2 linked regions of the Drosophila melanogaster genome follow. The protein of the gene in region 2 interacts with the protein of the main gene of each other region in a pairwise test. Each region holds a gene or a part of one and is shown on either strand. Other genes may lie near its edges.

The links.
Region 1: the proteins of CG31955 (region 2) and sqz interact in a two-hybrid assay, tested with the Drosophila melanogaster proteins (one large-scale study listed by BioGRID).

Annotation. Positions count from the first base shown.
Region 1 is NT_033777.3:19,162,211-19,170,243, forward strand, and holds the start of sqz (squeeze), read left to right. Parts: upstream 1-2,000; 5' UTR 2,001-2,706; intron 2,707-5,634; 5' UTR 5,635-5,824; coding exon 5,825-6,178; intron 6,179-6,358; coding exon 6,359-7,612; 3' UTR 7,613-8,033. Other genes in the region: Nsun5 (Nop2/Sun-like domain containing protein 5), read right to left, coding at 1-28. UniProt on the Drosophila melanogaster protein: Transcription factor involved in neuronal fate specification. First required in embryonic CNS development to define the number of cells that express apterous (ap) in the ap thoracic cluster of interneurons.
Region 2 is NT_033779.5:3,711,381-3,714,675, forward strand, and holds CG31955 (uncharacterized protein), read right to left. Parts: upstream 1,487-3,295; 5' UTR 1,403-1,486; coding exon 1,118-1,402; intron 1,066-1,117; coding exon 889-1,065; 3' UTR 846-888; exon of another isoform or gene 774-845; intron 689-773; 3' UTR 501-688; downstream 1-500. Other genes in the region: cutlet, read right to left, coding at 1-238; CG2818 (uncharacterized protein), read left to right, coding at 2,713-3,111, 3,267-3,295.

The DNA.
Region 1 (8,033 bases), on a different chromosome or scaffold from region 2:
CTTTTATGGAATGCGGTTTTTTACTCATTGTCGTCACGTGCACGTGTATGTGTTGTTTGCGCTAGAATAGGTGCAACCCCAATCACGACTTTATCGATATATGCTTATCGAATGTCAGGGCTGGAGATAAGCATGTGGCGTTTGAAACAAATCATATTGTTATTCATGTTTTGAAAATATCTACAATTAATGTAAAGGTTGTTCTAATTTTGCCAACGATAACTACAAAACATATATGTTCTATCCAATATATTTACATACAGGGTATCAAATTTACAAATAAATTGGCAGTGTGGCCATACGTTGCGAGCAAAAATTACTGTACTTCAAGCATTGCCAACACAAGAATATTTTCATGGTTAAAAATTTTGGCGCGATAAAGCCGCAGTTTAAAATGTCAAAGTGTGCGCGTTCTTGGAGGTTTACCAAAATTTAGAATCATGCTTTTATTTATCGTGCATAAGTTGGTAAATTGGAATTAAATCAAGTTTTTTCCAATTTGTTTCTGGTGTGTCGTTTGTTTTGGGGTCTGTACGGCTGCTTTAATTAAAAAATATTAAAATGAAGCACGCTATTCTTTAAGGACTTTAAGGAAACGTACCTTTCTATGTTTGCCCAGGAGTTGATAGACGATATCAAGGCTGAGGATCGCATCCTACAATGTCCTTGGTGCGAAGAACAGACGTTGAGTCCATCAGCCAGCACCCGGAAACTTTTGTATTGGCTTTTAACGCTTTCAATTCGACTTTCAGAAAAGAGTCTCCTCGAAAATCACGACTGATATCCATGTAAATGAATCGGTAGATACTTGCACTTTCTTTTTAGTTATTAAAACTGACACACTGTCACTTTGCAGGTTTTAACCGCTGGCGGAAATGAAGAAGGAATCCGGGAATATTCATTTCAGTCCATTGTGGTGCACAGCGGAACTCCCCTCAGGAACAATCTTAGCCCACTAAACATCAATAAACTACTAAAATAACTTTGACTGCTGCTTAATTTCAAATATACATAAATTAATATTTTTTATTTTTAAGTTAAATTTTTTAATTCTTTTGGAGGCTCAAATTTTATATTTGGCGCAGCACTTTAATGTAGAAAATGTGAATAAAGAAATATTTCAAGGGTAAACAACAAAAAATGTTTTGATTTTGTAAAAAAAAAAACCTTAAAAATTATGAGGAGTTATAAAATAATTATCAGTTTCCGGAACTTTAAAATTCTTATCTTCAATTTGATCTTCAAGACATATTTTTCTTATAATAATATTATCAATAATATTATATAATATGTAACGGATATTTAAGTTCTTCATTTTCTTTTTCAGAAGTATTAACAAATGCATATATATAAATACATATATATTTATACAATAGAATCGCATAGGCATGAATTCAGCGCGCAAAATAATATAATTACAATAACATTGATATTATATAATAGATTATAATAATATACATATGTAAGTGTAAGTTATAAAATGGTAACAAAGTTCAACAGCTCATAGGCGAAGATCCAGTGGCACGGAATTTTCAATACAGCCAGGAGAACATCCTAATATTTTGGATAAACTCTTTGTGCCACTGTTCCGGGTGATGTGCATCATGTCCAGCACGGAGGACCTTATGTACCACTATTGCTGTTTCCTAGATTAGGATTCGCTAAAAGCTTAAATTGTAATTTCAGATTCCCAAAAATAGAAAATACCGCCAAAAGTCAGGGCAATGGCACTGCAGAAAGGATGCAGGATATTATATGTTCTTTTTGTTTTTCTCTCCCCAGAATTTGGCCCAATTAAATTTGGTATTCGAAAAAAAGAGCACGCCTCCTCCCCGAAACCGAAAAAAAACTCTGTGGCGCCGGGAACAAAAAAGAGCGCGAGAGAGTGAGAGCGCACACATAAAAAACATAAACAAGCCTTTTTCACTAGTGTGCGTTTGTGCGGAGAGAGAAGAGAGCGAAAAACAACTTCTGAAAAAAGACGCTCTTCGCTGTGATTTTTTTTCAGTCAGTTTTTCGACGGTCGTGAACACGAACAGTTATTCTAGCTCCTCCTGTTCTGCTGCTTCTGTTGGTGTTTTTTTGCGTTTGCCGCGACGTAAACAACCGAAGAGCGGAGCTTACGCCCCCAACTGCTCCAGCTCCACGCCCCCCTCGCAACGTGTTCGTTGTAAATGCAATTAATCGTTGTTGGTCGCTGAAAAAACTAATATTTCGGGAGTCCGATACAAGAAGGGCAAAAAAGCACAAGTGCAGAAAAAGCAAAAAAAAACATAAGCTTGCCGTGTGTGTGCGTTGGTGTGTGTGTGTATTTTTGGCGTGCGCGGCCATTTTTTCTTGTTGCCACTCGAGAGTCTCTTCTGTGTGCGAAAGAGAGGCCCGACGGCAAAGCAGAACGTAGCAAACTACGCAAATCCCCACTAAATTCGCTAATTTTCGCTAAATAAATCAATCGCAAGGGGTGCCCAAAAACAAACAAAAGTACGAAAATAGAGTGCCGCAGACCACAAACAAATCACCTGCGCCAGTGTGTGTGAGTGTGTCAGTGTGCGAAACAGGCAAGCTCCCAGGCGGGCTCCCACCCACAATCAGTCGGCGAACACGTGCTCCAAAATATCAACAAAAGTTGGCCCACAAACATAAAAAAGGGGGCCGCGACTGCATCCGAGACCCGAACGCCGGAACACAAAAGGCACTTTCAAATTGGTAAGTACTTTGCGCTGCACGAGCATGTTTTATTTATTTGCCTTATTGGTCAAACACACTTGCGATTGCGGTGTTTGTTTCTCTTTCCCGCGCTCACGCACAGTGGTCGCTTTTGTTATAATTGTGAGACTTGAAAACGATCGCCGTAAAATTCACATTTTTAACAAAATATTTACTGTTCGAAAGAGGGGTTTTTTGCGAATCGATGATTAGTTGACGTGTTATTATGAGAAAAACATAAAAGATTATAGGACATTATTTTTTTAAAAATGTTGCAAAAATGATTTAAAGTTTGCGATTTCCTTGTTAAATAACATGAAAGCGTTTACAGTTATTACTATTACAAAATTATAACGATTTAATATGCATATCCTTTATATATTAATTGCTACTTGAAAATTACCTAATGTAAAAACTTATATAAAGCAAATGAATTACAATTTATTTATTGGTTAGGACTCTATATCCTATTTTATAAAAAAAAAATAATAGCACAATTTCCAAAGTGTTTGTCCAGTGTTCCATTGGTCAAATACTTATTGTTTCCTTATTTCCGAATCTTCGCTATTTGGGGAATAAGTCAAAACCTTTAAACTCCAAACATTTGTAAGCCGAATGCGACTGTCAACAAATAATTAAACCAGAATAATTTCAAAAGCGTTTTGCAGTCGTGCCGCACTACTTGACCATTCCGTTTAGTCGCTTGTTTGACTTTTTATGCTCGTTCCCATTCATTTGGTGGCGGTTTTTTTTTCATTTGTGTTTGTGTGTCGATGTCTTTTTATCTTCCACTTTTTTCGTACTCATCAAATATTCGCTTCTTTTTTCGCACACATGTCGCCCCCAACAAAAGAGAGTGAGAGAGCAGTCCGATTGCGGTTGTTGCGCTGTTGTTGTTGTTCGCTCGCTCGTTCGTTTGTTTATGCTCGCTCTTTGCTCTCTTTTGTTTTCAGCTGCTCGCGCTCAATTAATTTTCGTTGATTCGTTTTTTGTGTGTAGGTTTTTTGTGTATACCATTTTATTTATACGCTTTTTGGGCTTCTCTTTCTCGTGTTTTTCTTTTTTGGGGTTTTCTTCTTTTTTTTTTTGTTGTATTTTTGGGGACTGACCGATTGCGTTTATTTATCCCCAATTTCCCCATTTGCATTCATTATGTTGAGCGGTCAATTTCCCGTGTTTCTGGATCTGTTGTTACACGGTTGCGATTACGATTCCGGCTTCTGTTTTATATTGCTCGCCACTTTCGCTTATTTCATATTACAATTGTTTGTTCGGCAAACAATTGTTTGCTTGTCGCCCCGTCTCGCTCTAAATGTGCGCAACAAGCGAGTGGCGCGTCCTTTTATTTTCTGCATTACATGGCCGCCCTCCCCCTCCCCATCTTTACACAGAATTCCTGCTACCATGCTGTTCAATTGTCCAACGTCAGCATTAACAACAACAACAACAAAGGCAGAACCGGTTATTTTGACCAGGCAAAACCAAAAAAAAAAAAGCCAAAAATTGAATTTACCTCTGACGTCAACACCCACCCGACCAAAAGGTCGTATTCAAATTCGCGCTCAGAATACAGTTTCCATTTCACAAGACCTGATTTTGCGATTTATATGCAACTATTTACTTATAATGCGTTATGCACATAAACCAATGTTGTTTAAATTAATTATGGAATACTTGGACATTTTTACAGACATAAATACATGAGTTTGAAAACCTTATTTCGTATCAAAAGTCACGTGTTTTATGCACATTATAAATATTTCGGAGACTTAAAATTAGTTAGTTAAAAGCCAAAACTGAATCCCAATTCGCATAATAATACCGACATTTTCTAGTGAAGATAAAAGCTATGATTAAAGATTTGAGTAATGACTTTTGCCTGTTTATTTGTAATGATACTATAGTTATTTGTATTTGTCAAATTTCAAATTATTCGTATGTTTGCATGAATGCACTAATATTTTATAAATATTTTTAAAACAACGCATTTAATGTTTTTAATTGAGCAATAATTGCGACGCATTGTTATTCAGCGAATTATCAATTATTCATCCCAGCTGAAATATTTAAACGCCCTTAAAAACTTTAAGTTTCATTACATTTTATCGCAACGTATTCTTTTCAAATACGCTTCCGTTTTGATTTAACGAGCAACAACTTCTGAAATAGATAATATATTCTAAGAAAATTGACCATTTTGGCGTAATTTAAAGTAAGATATTATTAATTCTTTTTAACTTTGACTTAATATAAGTTTGGAACACATTCTTTTCATGTGTTTTTTACTGTTGCATGGAAATCCCACATTTTAAGTAATTCATTTGGGATTTACAGACCAAGAACATCAGTGGTCCATTGGAAACCCGGCTGCATCGCCCTAAAAAGTGGCAGAGATGTAGTTGCATTCAGTTCTCGAGGTTGTTGACACGTTCCGTTGGCGCCCCTGACGTTTTTTGCCTTTTTTGCTTTTTTTTTTTTTTTTGCCTGCCCATCGTCACCTGGCCACAGAGTAATCGCGATTTTGGTTCTTCGGGCCAGAATGCGATTCCATTTCGCTTTCCATCTGGTGGTTGTCACCAACAATTTCTGGCCGCAAGCGCCTTTTTTGTTTATCTTGTGATTTTTTCCGTTGACTAACTCTTTTTTGCCCGGCATTGTTATTAATTCTCTGCGCTTTTTGCGCCCCATTGGCAACTTTTTACTGGGTTGCAACAGTTGTGCTTTCAGTCAGTACCTTCTGCGCGCAGCACGTTTAATTCACAAACAATTAATTAATTCATGCATATTTATGTTAATGTGCAGAAATTAATGTACCCAACGGCGGGGAGTGGAGCGGCCAAGTGGCAGAATCGAAAAGTAGTTTAAGCACTTGTGCCGACTGGGCACAAATTTGTGGATTCAAGAATTACAATATTTCTGTACTTTCAGCACAAAAACGCGCCGAGTTGTGTAAGCCCGCCGCCAGTGAAGTGTCGACTTCCCGGCGACGAAGACCGCAGCAATATTTCCACTAGCCAGTAACGCACAGGCTCGTTCCGCCGCTGACGACGACCCCAAACTGGACGCCCGCACCATCGCCTACCGCCCGCTGACCCTTGGCGGCCACCAGACGCCGCTTATGGCCGAACTGCCGACGGCGCCGAACGGCGTCCCCAGCGGCGATTATCTGCACCGCTCCATCGATCAGCTGCGTTCGCTGGGTCATCTGACCACCGCCCAATTGGTTCACGACTACAAGCCCTTCAACATTAGCGAATTCCGGCAGAATGTCGCTGAGCGACTGGACTACTCGCTGAAGAACGGCCTGGTGCAGCACCAACAGCAAATGGTCATGGAGCAGCAGCCACATCCCGATCAGCAGCAGCAGCAGCATCTGCATCACCCGCAACAGCAGCAGCACCCGCCGCAGCTGAAGGTCAGCTACAGTGCGCCCAACTCGCCGCCCACTCCACACGAGCAGCAGGAACAGAAGGTAATCACTTATTTCAATATTGAAAAAATATATCATACGCATATAAATGTTACTGATATGATACTTAAATTGCGATCTTAATATTTCTTCGGTCAAAGATTATATGACTTTGCTTTAGTAACCCATTCATCGTGTACTTAATACTAAACGATACCCTTAAAACGTTCTATCTACTTCCAGTACGACCCGAATCGATCGCCGCCGCGTCAGCAGATGAGCAGCGCTAGCGGCAGTGGCAGCAACGGCTCCTCGCCTGAGGAGGAAAGCCGACGGGGAGACGGTGATCAGGCCAAGCCCTACAAGTGTGGCTCGTGCAGCAAGTCCTTTGCCAACTCCTCGTACCTGTCGCAGCACACGCGTATCCACCTGGGGATCAAGCCGTACCGCTGCGAGATATGTCAGCGCAAGTTCACGCAATTGTCGCATCTCCAGCAGCACATCCGTACGCACACGGGTGACAAACCGTACAAATGCCGGCACGCCGGCTGCCCGAAGGCCTTCTCGCAGCTATCCAATCTGCAGTCACACTCGCGTTGTCATCAGACGGACAAGCCGTTCAAGTGCAACTCCTGCTACAAGTGCTTCAGCGACGAGATGACCCTGCTGGAGCACATTCCCAAGCACAAGGACTCCAAGCACCTGAAGACGCACATCTGCAATTTGTGTGGCAAATCGTACACGCAAGAGACCTACCTTCAGAAACATCTGCAGAAGCACGCAGAGAAGGCGGAGAAGCAGCAGCATCGCCACACGGCCCAGGTGGCTGCCCACCAGCAGCACGTACCGGCGAGCGGCATCGGCTTGAATTTGCAGCGCCAGGCCATGAACGATGTGAATGCCGCATATTGGGCCAAAATGGGCGCAGACAGTGCGGCGGCTTCGCTGGCGGAAGCCATTCAGCAGCAGTTGCCGCAGGCCGGCGGTCAGCCGTATGGCAACTTTGCATCCCTGCAGCAGCAGCATCAGCAACAGCAGCAGGAACTGCTGCATCATCAGCGATTGGCAGACACGCCGGGGCATTCGCATAGTCCTCACGAGGAGGCCGCGGGCGAGGATCTCGTCCTGCGCCAGTCAACACCACAACATCACCTTCAGCAACAACAGCAGCAGCAGCAACAGCAGCAGGCCCAGCAGCAACAACAAGCGCAGCACCAGCCATCGCCTGGACCGGGAAACTCGGCCTTCACTCCACTGTCGGCGACAGTGGCTCCACCGCCACATCTTCAACAGCATCGCGGTCCGCCAGGATCCGCCGCTGCCTATCTGTATCAGCAGAATGCGGCGGCAGCAGCAGCGGCTTTTCCCACACAGCTCATCTCGCTTCACCAGATCCGAAACTATGCCCATCAGCCAGGAGCGGCGGGTCTCATCGCTGGCGATCATCTCGCCTTGGGCCTGAGCGCTGTTAATGCCGCCAAAGAAAAGGCGCAATAGTACAGGCCGTCAGGTCGGGGCCAAAAGAGGCAGCAACGATGACATTAGCTTAGGATCAACGTTTAAGTTGGTATGGATACAAGAGCGTGGTATTTTATTCTCTTTGAATCCATACCAATTGAAACACTGAAAGTAAAATAAGTTACTCATAGTTTCCAGTTGGCAGTGGCATAGGAGCTGGGATTGTGACTGGTTTTTCTTAAGCATCCTTCCAACTTCCAAATTCATCATGAAACTTGTATACGATTCGGCCAAAATCAACTCCATCACTGCCCAAAACCAATAAGAAAATCAACTGCAATCCTACAGTTTCTGTGCTATTTTCAACTGCCATATGAAAGTAATATGTAATATCTAGATCAACTCAGGATTTTAAATACGATAATTATGCACACTTTTAGATATCTATAAGCAATATTCA
Region 2 (3,295 bases):
GGCTAGCTCCAAAGGTAATCTGCGACAGCTGTGGCGATCCCAGTGTAGAGTTTCCAAGACGGGTGCTATCTCTTAGTGCCGCAACGGGAGCTCTGTTTTCCTTTTGCTTTTCAGCGGCCTGTTTGGATGTGCTCGGTCCATCGTACGCGTTAAACTCGTCCGGCAAGTCCTCCAGCAGCTCTAGTTCGTCTTGGTATTGCAGCTCGAACTCCTCGTTTTCGTCCGGATACTGATCCATACTGGTTTCAAACGAGCGTCCAACAAACAACTTAATAAAATCCTATTATATATAAACAAATTGTTACACTGGTATTTTCGCGCCAAAATGGCAAACATTAACAGCTGTTCGATGGCAGAGTTGCCAACTATCGTTATCAAAGTGATGGCTGTCACAAGCTGATTGATTTAGTAAGCTTAAATTATTTGATTTATTTTATTTATAAATGCATTGAATGTAAATAAAAATACTTATATAACTAGTTTCAATAATTGGTTTTGATATTAAAATTGGTGCAGGCACTTGGTAACTATGGCACATTTTCCAAACAACTGTTTTGTATTGACTTGTTTACCTTTCTCGTTTCTTCTTCTTCCACTTTGTTTACTGATAAAGAAAGTCCGCCAAAATGGAAGTGAATACGAAAATGAGTATTCTTTGCATTCCTTATTTCAAAATCAAAGTCATTATCTATAATCAGTAAGCGAGAGCACATTTCCCGTTCCCTTTTAATTACAGCTAGCAAAATGACAGAAGAAAATGACGATTCATCTGTAGGGCTGTTGCATTCTTTGTTTATATTATATATATATATAAATGCATGTGTTGATTTGAGCATATATTGAACCTCTATAATAGATATATATGTTGAAGGTGGCTTGCATTCGTCACTATGCAAAGCTTTTCACAACTTTGGTGGACGAAATGGACTTATGACACCGCGGACACTTGATGCAGGTTTCCGGATCTAGAAGTCCTTTGATCTTGTGCAGACACGGATGTATCTGCGTTCTCACGTGTTCCTTTGCTGCGATTGGCTCGGCAATATCCAACCGCTGGTGGAGTATCTGAAATAAAGCAAGTAAAATGTCCAGCATGTGTTCTTCGATTCCTACTCACATTGTAGGCCTCCTTCCATAAACTTGATTTGTAGCTCTGTTTTCTGGGCTCACTGTATTCATAAACACGAATGCCATTTTTTACTCGAACAGCATGCGGATACGGCGGAATGCTGCGCGAAAGTTTCCTAGTTATAATTTTGCCTTCAGCAGAAGCGTAAGCTGAATCCAAAATATTTCGTACACTTAATTTGGAATCCGGCATGTGCGAAACGTGTTTTTCGTCGTCGTATAAATATTCGTATGGTAGATCAGAACTATGAAAAACTACCTTGTCCCCCTCCATGGTGTGTTCGATAAAAAAAATTTGAATTGAAGACGTCTTATCACGAAGAGCTTCTGCGCTCGACTGATGTCTACTGAATACTGCAAGCTTCTGGAATGTAGGCAGATCTGAACACTATGACTCATTTTTACTAAGCTGCATTCGCGCGGGAGGGACATTAAATAAAGTCAAAGTTAATTTTATAATCCTAAGCTACCGGTTTTATTAAATTAAATCTGAAAGAATCTCTTGAGCTAGGTAAACAACCAACAAACTTTTTATTAAGTAGTAACTGAAAGTTCAGAAACTTTGCCTAAATTGCTGAGATACTTTTCGAAAACTGTGAGATACTCTGTTGCGGAAGACGGTCACCCTAAAAATCAGCTGTTCGCGTTGCCAACCTGTGAGAATGCGCTCAAATATCAAATATAAAACTTGTATTTTAAGTGCGTGTAAGTAAGTAGTATGTAGTATATATCTAAAAAGGCATCTACTATTTTTAAGTGCTTTAGGCATTTAGCATTGTGAAAATATTTACTTCATCAAAAACCTATCGATATCTTGACATTCAAATACTTTTCACATCCCTCGCTAGAATCGGTCAGTGGATATATAGATAACAAAATAATGCAACTCACAGTTTCAAGGGGATCGGAAGCCCCTGCGGCGCTGAAATCGTTCAGATAATATAAAGTTATATCCACATTATAGAGTTAAGCCCCCCCGCCACGAAAAGAGAAAAACATCATGTGTTGTTAGCTGAAATCCGTGAGCAAAAACCAAAAACAGCTGCTATGATCAAAAAATCGGGCGACTCCTCAATTTGCACACGTTTGTTATAGTTTCGTGTACGCGTAGGAAAATCACAGAAAATCTAGGAAAATCAAAGAGAGAGAAAGTGGAGGAGAGCGAGAAATCGAATCCAAACAAAGCGATTTCGGCTTATTCTTCTATTTCAGCACACAACAACGCAAAGTAAGTGATACAAGTTATTTATTTACGTCATCCACTGATAAGGGAAACCAAAAACAATTGCGGACTGCAAGTGAAATTAATGTTGTGTTAATATCTTCGAATTACTTGCGCTCGATACAATAAACAACTTGTGACCGCAGCTGAAAATAATTGAAGTACAGTGCGTATACGCTAACGAGCACAGTAGTACTCGAAAAAAAGAGAGAGTTGGCATAAATTACTTGTGCGCATGCAATACAATACAATTATACTGAGTTTCAACAATTAGTTTAGTTCTTTGCTGCTAACTACTATTATTCAAAGTGTATATAGCTAAGGATTATATATAGATATTAATTATTATCCATCCCCACAGAATGCACAACTGGCTGGCCTCACATAACGGCGATGAGGATGCGATGGCTGCGCCATCATCCTGTCCTGCGTCCTCGGAAAACGGCAGTCGATTGGAGTCCCGCCGGATCTTTGGCGACATTACCACCAACAGACTGTGGACCTTTCGGGTGCTGATGAACCAGGATCTGGCGCCCAACGAGCAGTTGGCCATAGTGGGTAATTGCGAGGCGCTGGGCAACTGGCAGCACTCGGGAGCGGCTATTTTGTCCAAAAATGAGGAGGACAATGAGTATAGTAATCTGTGGACAGGAGAGATCTATATTCCGCGTCACTGTGACACGGAATATCGCTATATGGTCTGTGCCGTCGATCCCGGCACGGAGCAGCTGATTGTCCGCCGTTGGGAAACGCAATTACAGGTTCACAAATTCATTATGTACTGACCGACCCTATACGAGTAGAGTCCAAAAATCCAGCTGGACCTGGGATCGGATTTGATTTGTATGCACTCGTATGGGATTCATGGTTTGGAGCTAGCCCAATAACATTGCTAAGAGATTCCCTTTCCTTACAGCCCCGAATAGTCAAGGAGTTGGATGAGCA